Lytechinus pictus: one gene and its partner. The protein of the gene in region 1 interacts with the protein of each later gene in a pairwise test. Links are inferred from orthologs where the notes say so. Each region holds a gene or a part of one and is shown in the gene's direction. Other genes may lie near its edges. The genes, in order: ATP-dependent RNA helicase cgh-1-like and eukaryotic translation initiation factor 4E-like.

Evidence for each region.
Region 2: the proteins of ATP-dependent RNA helicase cgh-1-like (region 1) and eukaryotic translation initiation factor 4E-like interact in binary tests that used the Drosophila melanogaster proteins (3 or more experiments, as listed by UniProt). The link is inferred for Lytechinus pictus from reciprocal best matches to the Drosophila melanogaster genes me31B and eIF4E1.

What each region holds. Positions count from the first base shown.
Region 1 is NC_087252.1:4,883,999-4,891,641, reverse strand, and holds the start of ATP-dependent RNA helicase cgh-1-like, read left to right. Parts: upstream 1-4,570; 5' UTR 4,571-4,853; intron 4,854-7,643. UniProt on the Drosophila melanogaster protein: ATP-dependent RNA helicase which is a core component of a variety of ribonucleoprotein complexes (RNPs) that play critical roles in translational repression and mRNA decapping during embryogenesis, oogenesis, neurogenesis and neurotransmission.
Region 2 is NC_087262.1:23,051,369-23,058,826, reverse strand, and holds the start of eukaryotic translation initiation factor 4E-like, read left to right. Parts: upstream 1-4,430; 5' UTR 4,431-4,465; coding exon 4,466-4,504; intron 4,505-6,641; coding exon 6,642-6,853; intron 6,854-7,458. Other genes in the region: phenazine biosynthesis-like domain-containing protein, read right to left, coding at 419-532. UniProt on the Drosophila melanogaster protein: Recognizes and binds the 7-methylguanosine (m7G)-containing mRNA cap during an early step in the initiation of protein synthesis and facilitates ribosome binding by inducing the unwinding of the mRNAs secondary structures.

The sequences.
Region 1 (7,643 bases):
CTAAGCATGTTTTGTAACCATGAACAGGATGGGTATCTATTTAAACAATTATTGTGCGAGCGCAGAGCGCTAGCTAAAAATTATATTCTGACCTAAAATGTTGACATAAGCGCTTTCGGTGATCATGAACAGGATGGTCATTTAACTAATTAGCAATTGATGTGAGCGCGAGCTGATTTTTTTTTTATTTTCTACCTGCAAAATTTGGACATCCTAAACACTTTCTGCAGGGGCCGCGGAAGCGGGGGGGGGAGGGGGGCTTCAGCCCCCCTTTTTTCCAAAACCGTGTACAAAAAACGTAAAAATGACCATATGATTGTGATTTTTTGCATGGTCAGCACCCTACCCCAGCTTTTGGCCCCTGTTCTGTAATCATGAATAGGATGGGCATCTAATTAATCGATGCGAGCACGAAGCCGCGAACTAAAATTTTTTTATATTCCGACCCAAAACTTGTGATTCGTTCTAAGCAAATTTTTGGGACCATGAACAGCGGATGAATATCTATCTAAACAATATTATGTGAGCCGAAGCGCGAGCTGAAAATTTTGTATATTCTAAAATTGTAGATTTAAAATTTGGACATTCGAGTATGCATTTTTTAGTAATCTGAAATACGAGTGTAAAGTCCGAGACTTTTGGTTATAGAACTTTGGGGAAAAAATAATGGCACCAAAATTGTGGAACAATCTGCCTCATCAATTCTTCTACATGCATAAAGACTATATGGTATTATGCGTCTCTAAGAACTGCCTATTATTATTATTATTAATCATGAACAGGATGAGTATCTAACAAAACAGCTTATGTGAGCGCGAAGCGCGAGCTGAAAATTTTTGATCTATCGACCCAAAGTTGGACATTTTATTAAAGCATTATCTGACCACGATCGTCACCCTACTAAACAATAATTGATGGCGCCCCTATAGGTCGAACATCAATTCGACGCCCCTCGGTTGAACATCAATTCGGCGCCCCTAGGTCGAACATCAATTCGACGCCCCTCGGTTGAACATCAATTTGGCGCCCCTATAGGTCGAACATCAATTCGACGCCCCTCGGTTGAACATCAATTTGGCGCCCCCCCCCCTCCCCCTATCTCGAACATCGATTGGCGACAGTATAAGTATAACATAAATTCGGCCCCCCCCCCTTCTCTCTTCCTTTTTTTTTCCTTCTCTATATATATCTTTCCGTTTTTTTTTTCTTTTTCTTTTTTTCTTTCCCTCCTTTTTTCCTCCCCTGTTCTTTCCCTCTCTTTTCTTTTTCTTTTTGGCGCCCCCTTTTCGCCTACCGGGGGGGGGGGGGGCGAAGCGTGAGCGGAAAAAATTAACCCAAAAAGGGAGACACTCTATTCATATTTCATAAAACATGAAAAAGGTGGGTAATTGGGTATCTTCCTACGTTAATAATGCGAGCACGAAGCGCGAGTAGAAAATTTTTGATAATCTAATCTGAAACAGGATAATTTCACGCACGTTTTCGCTGCGTATCTCAATATTGTGCTCGTGTTTTAGATGTAGGCATAGAATCTGAGCATTCTACATGGGCCTACATTTCTTTTATTATGAAAATCAGGCGAGCGCGAAGCGCGAGCTAATCTCTTAGTACTTTTGTAAATATTTTTTTCATCAATTTTCCTGCCTTTGTACTTTGTTTTATTATGTTTGTTTCATATATACATGATATAGGCCCCTTTCACAAGCTTTGCTTCTATGCCGGGGCCCAAACCCTATCAAGTCTCTTGTTTGATTGCGGAAAGTGGGGATGTGACCTCCATACTCTAATCAATATTCATGATGACGTGCATATTTAAAATACAATATCTTCGCTATTCAGATTTTGATGAAAAAATTTCAGCATTTTGCTTTGTGACTCGTACGGATATTTCAGCACGGATTATCCCTTTAATTGAATTCCGAGTGTCTGATTTCAAAATATGACGATCGATATCTCCGGAAAACGATAACGCGTGAATTTATCAGAGCACATTAATAAATTCAAGTGACTGATGCATGGGTGTCGATCACGGGGGGGATGGGGGGGGATATATCCCCCCCAATATTTCAAGTGGGGGGTGGTCTGTATTATCATCCCCCCAATAATTTAGGGTAGAAAATTTATTATAATGATGATGATGAAAAAATGAAAAGTTTGATCATGATGATTATAGTGATGATTATAGTATGCCATCAATCAGTTTGTTTCCCTCGCAATTCGTGTATATTGTTATTAAATAAAAACATTCTTTTCTAGGACTTTTAAACAGATGGGTGGAGGTTCAAGATGAAAAAGAATGAAATATTTATGTATATATGATATTTTTTAACACATGACATAAAAGGACCCCGACGAAAAACAACTTTTGTTGATAGAGTGTTCCATCCCACCAGTGGTAATATGATCATATTTTTACAATTTTTTAAAAAATGAAATCAATTAATGGTTTCAGATAGAATAATCGTTCATTTCTCTCTAAAGCGTATCTTCGGATATGAACATCGGATGTTTTTTTTCCCATGATATTCTTGTTATTGTTATGGACTTGAATAACTAAACTTGATTGATTTTTTCTTTATTTTGGCAAAAAGAAATCTCTTTTGAGTTTGGAAAGGGATGACAGTTTTGCATTCTATATGAGCACACTCATGCGGTACGTAAATTTCATTTTAAAACATATATTAGCTGATATTACACACTGATGGTTCAAGAAAATGTTGGAGAAATATCATAACATGACAGTTGAGTTTTGATTGTTTTTATGTTTGTTTTTGTTCCATGCACTTATAAAGCATTTAAAACATGTTAAAATCCAGGGTTAAAATCGTCTAAGGAATGACGGTAAGCCCGATGGCGCACGAGAAGCCACACAGTTTGTAATTTGTGCTAGTCTTAATTTGTCCGAATCTGCATTTTATCATCATGCATTAAGAAGAAAAAAGATATTGCCAGTCGGGTTAGATTTAAGAGAGAAGTTGTATACATCATGTTCAATAAACAGATCACTTTGTACATGGTCCAGACAATTTTTGTCATTATTTCTTTCGTATGAGTTTAGAATAGGCTTACTTGTAACACAAATTGAATTTTCAAAAAAAAATTATATAAGTACAGTACACTGCAACAATGAAAGAATTTCCGAGAAATTACAGTGGCGTAACTACGGGGGGGGGGGGGGCATGGGGGGCACGTGCCCCCCCCCCCATCGGCTGGCAAAAAAAACGGGGAAGAGGAGAAAGGAAGAGAAACGTAGTGGGAATGAAGAAATTATTGTTTATTATAATGTTATATTATAATAATGTTATGTTATAATACATAAGAAACATTTTTTCATAACTTTATTTTGCTCAGGCCTAGATGTCTTCATTGTTCCCGGTACTCGCATTGTCTGTTTAAAGTCAATATACACCAAATATATTTCCTCGCACTTCGACTTATCATTGTTTTATGTAGTGACATATGGTTCTTTTTCATGACTACTTAAAGTGATTGCCCCATTTTAAGGTATTAATATAAAACATTTCCTGTCCGTGCTTACGTTCGCACTAGTAGATTGGTGAGATATGTCTGCTCTTCATGAATTCCTAAAAATCAGTCCTAAAAATGTCCCTTTTTCTGATCTGAATATCAAAAAATTTCAGCTCGCGCTTCGCGCTCGGATCATTTGTTTAGTGAAATACGTATCGTATGGTCTTAGTGAATTCTTACAAACAGGCCTTAGAATGCCTCTCTTCAGGTCTTAATATTCCAAATTTTCAGCTCGCGCTTCGCGCTCGCAATATTTGATGAGAGATGCGTATTATCATGATTACAATGACTGCAAAAAGTGCTTCATGTGTTTAGATGTAGCAAAATCAGCAATTAAGCGCTTTGCACTCGCATTAGATGACTATGGTGAGATATGTATACTCTTAATGGATTCCTAAAATATAGTCCTTAACATGTCCTTGTTTGGGGTCAATATTTACAACAATTTCAGCTCGCACTTCGCGCTTGCATTGTTTGTTTAGCGAGACAGGTATGTATAATTACAAAAATTTGCTTAAAATGTCCTTTTTTGGTCTGCATATCAAAAATTTTCAGCTCGCGCTTCGTGCTCGCATTAATTGAGCAGTGAGATACATATCCGTTTAATGGCACTGTCTTTAAAATGTACCTATTAGGTCAGTATACCTGGCAACTGAGCGCGCTTTGCGCGCTCAGTCACCAAGTGACTCAAAATTATGCTGGTGCCCGGCCCCAATGCCGTGACTCACGGTACACCACTAGCTGCAAGAACACCACTCCCAAATGTCCTAACTTGTGATTTTAGTGGGGGTAATGTTGAAAGATCCCCATCCACAAGAACATTTGTGTCCATCATCCCCCCCCAACCAAGAATACCGATCGACACCCATGGACTGATGTATGATATTGGGCGGGGAAAAGTATAGCGCTATATTTTATAGGACCTAACTTCAATTGGGATTAGGGCCTATAATTATATTCATTTTCATCGATCTTGCTAAATCTTTTTTATTATTTCTTTTATACTTTTTTTCATATAAAAAACAACAAAAACAATTTTTTTAAAGTCAATAGGCATATATATATATTATTTATACACAACCCAAAGATTATAAGGCATTTTCGAACCTTCTTTTACAGTCTGTTGCAGCGGGGGGGGGGGGGGGGGGAATAATAATCCGGCGAATTGACAAAGGACGAGCTGCCCGGATGCCATACACAAAAGAAGAAAACAGTCTACCGGTACCTGTTTTGTCTACGGTACTGCACTGCAGCACTAGCAAATACACTGTGGACAGAATTTCGTATGCGTATACACAGACGGCCATTTTGAACCTTCTTGTATTGTAAGTCGAACAACCCGTCTCTAGAAATCCGTCTTAATCTGTGTTGTTCTGAATATGCTACTTTTGAATGAAATGTTTTTCGAATGATGTGTTTTATACGATTCTGATATGTCACATTTTGGGCATTTTAAGTGTTGGCAAAGTGTATAATTTTGTTTGAGAATATGGGTTTGAGAATTCGGTCGTAGCGTACCAGGTAGTTCATACAGCGTCATAATATAGGCTAAAATTGTAAAATATGAGATTGAAACGTAATGGGATGATTGGAAAAGGACCCGCTGTGCCCTTCCCTGACAAAAACACTTCATCTTGCTTCTATGAAGTTGAAGTGGAATTAATCTTTATTCTCGGGATCTGCTAAAGGTCTTGTAGAGATTGTTGTTAATGTTGAGAATTTGGGACTTTTTATTTTAATTTTATTGATGTGACCTGATCAGACCGGGCAGAGCGAGATATTTTTTCAATTTTTTTTTCTGAAACATTTTTTATTCTAAAATTTCTTCTCACGATGTGAAATTTGCCTCAATTTTTGTTCAATAGGTCAATAATACGGCATGCCAATAATAATACGATTTTTTTAGCTGCAGCCGTCTGTTCTGAGACAGGAGTTTTTAAACATTTTTCATCAGTAGAGGCGCACGGCCAATATGGGAGACTCACTCCAATACTAGGCCTAGGGGAGACAATCTCCCACATTGGAGACTTGCTTTGCAAAAGGACAAAAGAAACAACTCCAACAAAAGCATGATTTTTTCCACCCAAAATTTTGTCTCACTGAGGTCAGAAGCCCATTTGTTTTGTGTGTGATTGACAACAAAAATCCTTATCAAAACAAAAGTAGACGGTGAATTTTTAAAGTAGACGGTGAAAAGGGGTAATTTTTCATGAGGAATCTGCTTATCACATTTTTATTTGCCGCCATTTAATCCTTTTGCAGCAAATGTAAACAAAGGAAATTGGACTCAGATTGTCAGAAACTGGAGACTGTCTCTGAAATTGGATAGGCCTACCCAAATTCTTTACCAAAGTCTCTGATATTTGGAGATAATCTCCCACATTGGAGACAGTCTCCAATATTGGCCATGCGCCTCTACTGTTCATGTAATAAAACTAATATTTTTAAATTTCTCCTCGACCTCGTAGACGTAGTCATACAGACGGCTCGCTATCGTGCAGCCACCATTAGGGGGTTAACAATGCGAAATCCCCCCCCCCCCCCCCCCCCGGCAGTGCTCATCGATTTTTGTCCTTATTTCATAATCATACAAAGAACTGTCAAACCAAAATAAAGATAATTCCGTTTTGGCCTAAAATGCACCAAAACGGGGAAAAATAAACTTAGGAAGTTAGGGCCTAGGCCTATATAAAAGGGGAAAAAACAGTGACTTCGGCTGTCACGCAAATTCACTTCCCTGTTTTATCCGACCTTAATACACAAACATATGGCCATTGAGTCCCTGTACAGATCGAGCTAGAACTTTGGCCTCTGTATTTTGGTGAGTGGAGCCAACGGAGTTCAGCGGAACAGCCAACATAACAGAGACTGAAGCTTTTGGGTCTAGGCCTATATTTTTCTAGGCTTCTAGCCTAAGTTCATGAAGTTTGATTTAAAACTTTTGACTTTTTGTTTGAGCTTCGTCTAAAATCTTCAAAATGTAAAGTTAGACTTTTGCATTGCACGTGCTAAAGTCGATCATATGTCGTGTCAGTGCGTTGGAGAGCTGATGATAAGTGCTGTACCACACGCGATTTTCAATCCGGAAGTTGCAGACTTTCGCTCAGATTACGGCGTACGCTCGGAGCTCCTGGCATGACTGGCCTGTTCGAATGAAGGCAACAATCACAACAACACGGTTGTGACGGAATTGATGTTGACCGTATTTATGTGCAAATTCAATGCAGTTTAGCGTTATCTTTGTTTCTTTTATGAGTTTTCATATGGAAGATGTGATCGTTTATTTGCAAGAAAACTTGGAACTTAACTGTGATTGCTTCATTTTTAGCACATCTCCTTGCGATCCTGTTTCTTAAGTCTGAGCTAAGCCTCTGGAAATGAGTTTTCAAAGGGGATATTGTGACTTTCCTGTGGTGAGTGAATGTGTTTGGTGTGGGTTGTGGTGATTGCCTTCTGGCTTGTGAAATGATACGTATCGTGGCACATGTTGAATAGGGCACGCTACTCATTCAATTTGATCAATTTTATTGGCAAAGTTAGACTGGATGATCATTTGCTGATGTGAGGTAAGCGACCCCAAATTCAACGTGCACCGAGACTCGACCGCCAAACTCAGTCTCACGAGCCAGCTCATTCAATCAACACAAACCTATGGCAGAATCGCAAATTAGATACTTGTCCGCACTTCACATGTGTGCTCTACCGCCACACCCCAAGAAAGTCTTGGTTTCAACTCCAAAATCTGCTCTTGGGCTGTGAAAAGCCAAATTCTATGCCATAAAAATTGCTGAATTTACGTCATTTTTCTAAAGCGCATGGTGGCTTACAGTATGTAGCTCAGCTCAGCTTGCTTGAAGGACAAGTCCACCCCAACAAAAAGTTGATTTTAATAAAAAGAAAAAATCCAACTAACATAACAAGTGCCCGAAATTTCATCAAAATCAGATGTAAAATAAGAAATTATGACATTTTAAAGTTTTGCTTAATTTCACAAAATAGTTGTATGCACATCCTTGTTGGTGTAAATGAGGAGACTCATGACGTCATCCACTCACTATTTCTTTTGTACTTCATTATATGAAATATTCAAATTTTCTCATTGTCAAGTGAAACAG
Region 2 (7,458 bases), on another chromosome or scaffold:
CCTAAAATAAATTTAAAATAAGTCTACACTGCATCAACCCCCTAATAATCAATCGATCGAACGACCAATCAATCAAGCAAGCGTCTTTATACTCAAAGTAAAAAATCCCTAGTAAGACTCTTGTCAGTCTTGATTAGTAGAGATGGATCTACTAGAAAATGTTTGATTTTATGTTCAAATGGTTTAATGTATAAATATAATTGATGTTTTTTTAAATCAGATTTCAGATCCCATCCTGATGTAGAGGGGCGTGGTCGTAAACGCTCGCAAAACTTTTGTCCAATTACCGTGCAGGCCTCAGTATGCAGTACCCGGTATGCACCTCGCGCTCGCTCTCCGACTCAGAGTGAGACCACCGTACCCTGAGACCACAAGGGTGCCTTCAGCTGGCCCTGGGTTTCCGCGCGAAATACCGTACCTCTTCGGCGCTTGAAATAGGACACACCGCAGCAGAATTCCCCGTAAATGGAGCACTTGCAAAGGCATCAACAGTGTAAATTGGTAAAGACTTTTGTTCGCTTCCGTCTGCCATCTTGAGCGTATAGATGTCACCCGAATATCAGTAAAAATTAATATTTTTTAGAGAGGATTACAATACAAGCACGAGTGGTCTTCTGCTACCGTCCCTCAGCAATGAACTATGAGGCCACGCACTACAACAGAGTTTATTCTTTCACCAAGTCGTTTGTTACATAGTGACATGTTGCATAAAAGAAAACAAATCTGGAAGTTTTTGCCAGAATTTTTGTTCATTTGCCAGAGGTTTTTTTATGGCGAAAATGTTATGCAACATGCCCCTAGCCTATGTGTTCTTTCATGATTAGTGAGAATCTGGGGTGAGAATACATCATTTCCTTTTGATAATTTAAATGTATCATGATAACGTTTTACTGTATAATAATAATAAACAAAATAATTGATAGGTAAAAATAATAATAATAATAATAAAAACTCCACAAAAGAGAGTACGGCAGTCATCTTGGAGGGAATTGCTGACCCCCCCCCCCCTGTACTTTTCACTTCTTTTCACTCAGGCCCCAAATCGACTCGGTTTTGTTTTCTCTGTTGTGATATTGCAGCAGAAAAAATTACAGGACCAAAAAAAAACTTAAAATCAAAACAAAAGCAGAAAGCAGGGGGAAAATACAAAAGAAGAGGTAAAGTGAGAAAAGGAAGAAATAGCGATCAGAAAAAAGAAGGAAGAAAAGAAAAGAAAAAAGAAAGACAAGACAAGAAGGAAATGAAAGGAAAAGAAAGGAAGGGAAGGGAAGGGAATGGAGGGAAAGGAAAGGAAAGGAATTGGAAATAAGAAAAAAAATAGCACAGAAAAAGTGAAGGAAAAATAAAGAAAATGAAATAACCTAAATGAAAAGAAGCCATTCTTCAAGTTTCAAAGGAAAAAAAACCACTATATATAAAAAAGCAGTGGCAAAATATCTTGACTGCATTTTTGCCAGCCAAACCAAACAAAGAAAAGAAGAAACAAACAAATGCTATATTTGGTTTCCTTTTAAGGATAATATATGTCACTTGTGAGCCAGAGGCCGAGGGGGAAGCATCCCCTTTTCTAAGGTGCGGCATCCGTCTTTTCTATATGCGCTATTTGTGTTGTGTGGTGTCATAAGCGGATCCAGGGGGGGGGGGACGATCCCCCCTAAATTTTTTGTTGATAACCTTTTTTTTTTTTGGTTGTCAAAAAATTGTTGTAGTCCCCCCCTAAAATTTTTGGCTTCCGCCGCCAATGCCCCCCCCCCCCCCTATTGGCGGAGCATAAAAAGGAAAAAAATTGGGAAATAATATTTAAAAAAAGAGAAGGGAAAAGAAAGGAGAAACATAAAAGAAGGAAGACGAGTTAAAGAATAAGATGAGGGGAAGACTTGGAAAATTATAATAAAAAAAATCTTTCGTGACACTATATAAAAGTTTCGCTCGCGCTTCACGCTCGCATTGCCTTTTAGGTGATTTATATACAAAACATATTTCAGCTCAGAAATCGAACTTTCATTATTTTGTTTGATTTACAAATTGATTTTTAAATAGTGCTCTGTAAAAAAATATATATTGTATGGCCTGAATATTAACATTTTCTGCTCTGCTCTGCGCACTCGATTTGTCAGGTACCTATTATTTTCCTGTATTCCATAAAGTTCTCAAAATATCCCTATTCAGGTCAGATTGTCAAAACGTATCAGTTAGCGCTGCACGCTCGAATTTTGATTGGTGGGTTATGTATATCTCAATATTAATTATATAACAAACCATTTCATGACAGTTTATCAAAAATTTCGGCTCGCGATTTGCGTTTGCATTGATTGTTGAAAATATATTAACTCATATCTTATTAATAATTACAAAAAGTGCTTTAGATGTCCAGTTTTCAGGCCATTATAGATTTCGGGCTCGCATTAGTCTTTTTATAGATTAATAAATAAGATATTAATTTAATAATCAAATCATCTCGCGCTTAGGAAGAGAAATAGGAAGATAGTCATCATTCTATATGATGACATATGTTCTTAAAGGTCAAATCATAAAGCATAACACTGAAAATTTCATCAAAATCGGATGTAAAATAAAGTGTGTGTATTTGAGTTTTGTCAGACGTGTATCAATCAGATATGATTATTTACGTCTGGGACCGACCTTTAACGTCACCATCCGAAAGACGTGACCGGGGCTCGATCACCTCGAACCTCTGCATCAATTTGTAACTTCCCCACATAGCTTGGATTACAGGCGCACGCAACAACGCCCAGTTATACGACTTTTTTAAGTTTCGCTTATTTTTCACAAAACAGTCATATGCACAACTAGGTGACTCAGTCGATAATGTCCATCACTCGCTATTTCTTTTGTTTTTTATTGTTTGAATTAATATTTCATTTTTTACAGATTTGAAAATAAGGACAAACTTGACTGAACCATATAGTATTAAACAATGCTAATTCCACATGTATTGTTCAGGGAGGAATTAATCGTTGTATCACTTGACAATGAGGAGAAAATTAGAATATTTCATATAACAAAATACAAAAGAAATAGTGAGTGGATGATGTCATAGTCTCCTCATTAGCATACCAGCCAGGATGTGCATAATTATAACTGTTTTGTGAAATTAAGCGAAACTTTAAAATGTCATAACTTTCTTATTTTACATCCGATTTTGATGAAATTTTCAGTGTAATGCTTGTTGGATTTTTCTCTATTTATTCAAATCAACTTTTTGTTGTGGTTGACTTGTCCTTTAAAATGTCCCGGTTATATGTCAAAAGCCAAAGTAATAGCATGGACCTACTACAGGGTAATAGTAATGAAACATATCAGCTCTTTTTTAAGTGTGATCCATGTCTGCCTCTCAATTTTCCTACAATATGCTTGAAATCAAGAGCTTAAATTGACCCCTTTTCAGATCGATATATCAAGCTCGCCCTTCGCGCTCGCTTTATTGATTTTCATGATTAAAAAAAAAGGTATTTAGAATGCCCAGATTCTAGGTCGAAATCTGAGACACGCGCGCGCATATATCTTATTCAGGTACGCAGCTTGCTCTCTCTATTTAAATCATTATCCAGTTTCAGATCATATGCAATATCAAAATGTTTCCGCTCGCATTATTAATGTAGGAACATTTCCAATTACTCATCTTTTTCATGATTTACAAAACATGAATAGATCGAGTGTCCCACTTTTAAGTGTAAATTTTGATTTTTTCCGCTCGCGCTTCGCGCTCGCATCAATTGTTTAGTTATATACTTATCCTTTTCACGAATACAAAAAGTGCTCGTAGAATTCCATACTTCAGGTAGGCATGTCAAAATTTTCAGCTCGCGCTTCGCACTTGCATTATTTGATTGTTGAAATATATGTAACGTCTTCTTGGCTAACGAGCAGCCGTTAATAAATCCTTTTTTGATCGGATCAAAACGTACATTACAAATTTCTGCTCGCGCTTCGCGCTCACAGTAATTATTTAGTTGGATACACACCTCATTTAGGATCACAAACATTGCCCAGAATGTTTAAATTTTAGGACAAAATACATGAAATAAAACATAGCTCGCGCTTCGCGCTCGCATTATTCAAATAAGGCTTAAGAGATTATATATTTATGTTGATTTATATAAGAATAAAGCTTAGAAGTGACAGGACTACCTCTTCAAATAAACAACCACTGAAAAGTCGATAATGTCTTTGTCATTTGCATGAGATGTGCATATGCGCAATATTCTACTTACAGTCGATTCATTGTGTGTTTTTTTTTTTTAATACAGCAGATCTGACAGATTATCCCCCCCCCCCCTTAGTTTGTTTTTTCTTTTGCACTCCTCCTCCTTCGAGGCACGACCCCCAAGACAAATTTGTGTGACGTTTATGTTCTACTTGGTGGTCACTTCATCAATTCTATTTCCACCTGATTGTACCACGTGACATTACGACAGAAGGCCAAAATTGGAACATAAGGAAAATGGCTTCCGTGAATATAGCAAAGCATGTTAATCTCGAGGTAATTTTCTTGCATTTCTGTACCATTTAACTGAGTTAACGATTAATGATCGCTTCCTGATATCATATGCTACGTTCACATCTCGTAATGATCGATGTTTTTATTATTTTATGAGATAAAAGCGAAAGAGTAAGGAGGCTCGCGGTGATAATTTCGCCGGTTGTCTTGCGCTGATATGCTGAGTTGAGTGGAACATGTGCATTGCCATTGTGCAGCCACGTTCATTGAATTGCTAGAGGTCGGAGTGAATTTCGTGTTGTGTTGGTATGTGAGCTGAGCCAAGTTTTTGTGTGGCTATTGCAGTCCTCCCCCAAAACCTAACTTTCATTACCAAAAAAACAGGAGACAGGTTTAGAGAATGAAGTAACGTTAGAGCTTCCTGAAACCAAAAAAGTGGAAATTTAACGTTTGTCAGTCAGTTGAGTGTGGCTCTGTCTCATGTCTGTGCAGTCTGTTGTGAGACTGAGACTGAGTGAGAGTTCAGTTTCCTTCCAGTTCTGAATCCCAATCCTCATCCTGTCATTTCTATTCTAACTTTTAGTTTTGGCAAGTGATGAAGTAACATGAATTTAAAAGCAGGTTAAAATATTATTAAGGCTAAGCTGGCAGCATGATGAAGACGATGCTGGTGTAGTGGTGATGAAAAGTAGATCTATTATCTAGATGAAGATGGTGACGATGAGAAAAATGATTATGATGATGGTGGTGATACTGTCCCTGATAATGGTGATCATTGGTGATGGATTGATGGTGGTGATGATACAAGCCAATAATGGCAGTTATCTACCGCGGTCAGATATCTTACCATTCTCAATCTCTGTGTAAGCAGGTTCATGAAAGATAGGAAGTAGATCTCTAGGCAGTATTTGAACTTGAATTTGAATTTTAAAAGGTAGGCCTATTTATTAGCGGGGGGCAGAATAGGCAGGTAGAGAAGTTGAATGTGATGAAGGGAGAGTAGGCCTATGGTGAAAGCCGGAGGTAAAAGAGGGATGTAATGGAAAGTGAAAAATATGAAAAAAGAAAGAGAGGCATATATAAATCATACATCGTATGCAAGTACATTTTAAAATTAATATGCATATCAAAATATAATTTTTGTAACTCAAACTTTGTTAAAATTTAGGAAACCACGCTGATGAGTAATGTGGAGAAAAAGTAGTATTTAAGAGATTGCAGTTTATGTCATGAGATAAGTAATATAATATGAATTCATAAGATTGGAGAAACTTAACAAATATTTAGTGGCAAATCTGCAATTTGAATATGATTAGGATTTGAATTTTGAAGAATATGGCATTGATTTCAGTGATGATGATGATGAAATAATAGTGATGATAATGATGATGATGGTGATGATGGTGATGATGAAATGATGATGGTGGTGTGATGATGATAAAAACACCAATAACAGCAGATATCTAAACATTTTCCATTTCTTCAAGCAGGTTTAAAGATTGAAAGTGCTCAGGACTGGATTAGAGTGGGGAGAAGGATATTTGGTGATGATGATGATGATGATTATTGATGATGATGATGATGATGATGATCTAAAGAGAAGACAGAACTTGGATATAAACAGAGGTTTAAACTTGCTTTAGGAAGCATCTTAAATGAGTATAATGATGATGAGGTGGCAGGGATGATGATAATTATGATGGTGGTATTGGTGATGGTGATGGTGATGATGTAGTAATGATGCAAACCAATCACAGTATTAAATATCATGGAAATAGCCTAGGTCTCATCACTGATTTCATGAGTAAGTCTGTTAAACCAAGGTGAATTATCACTATATCATCATAGATGATAATTTACATGTAGTAGTACAGTTACTTACACTGAACTTTGTGAAATCATGAAATCTAAGCTAATCACAGTGAAGATTGACTACTCAGATAATCTCTCTGTTCTATTATTGCTTGTTTCTCAGTAATTGCACAATTTCTCCCAGAATCCTGTGGCACGTATACGAAAAAGACACTTGGGTAGTCGTCTTATTGAATTTTGTACGCACTCATTTTGAAATCGTTGCCACAACTGGAATTTATTTTTAATCACATAGATAATGCTGATGTGATGTTGTTGGTTTCAATAATTCTCACTCTCTCTCTCTCTCTCTTTGTAACTCTCACAGGATATTAGTAAAGATGGGAAGGGTGTAAAGCATCTGCAGCAACAAGAAGAAGATCTCCAAAGCGACCAACAAGCCGTAGATCCAGAAAGTCTCATCAAACATCCCTTACAGAGCAGATGGTCTATGTGGTTCTTCAAGAATGACAAAGCCAAATCATGGACAGAAAACCTTAGAATCGTCACAGCATTTGATACAGTAGAAGATTTCTGGTCGTAAGTATCCATGGACCTCCAATTCACTTTGGGTTCCTTTTTTTAATAATGGCAATTTTAATTGGGGAGGGGGGGGGCTTCTAGTATGGCCAGGCTAGGAAAAGATCATTCATCTGCTGACCTAGCACCACACATGGCTCTAATCCTCTGGAAGTACCTTTGTTCTTCTTTGATTACATACATTTAAAGTTATAACATTTCAAAAACTTATTTTGTTTGAGTTTTCAATGTTGACAACACCGACGTCGGAACAGAGCCTTTAGTCTCGCTCTGCTTTGCAGGTGAGACAATAAAAAATAATAAAAACAAATTAAAAATATAAATTATTTGTGGTACATAATCATTAATGATTACAAAGACCACTCGTCTATGGAAACGGCATTTGGAATTTCCCTTGTATACATGTATGTGGCTTAAAACATGTTCACAGGGGCATCAGAGGAGGCCATCTTGGCGGCCATAGTCAAAGTGTTCTGCAGTGGCCCTTGACACAAAGCTGAGCGATTGGTGGTGGGTCTGATTACTACGATTGATTGCATCGATTATTGTGTATGATCAATCGTACAAATAAGCCATACAGTCAATAACTAAACTTTGTATTACCA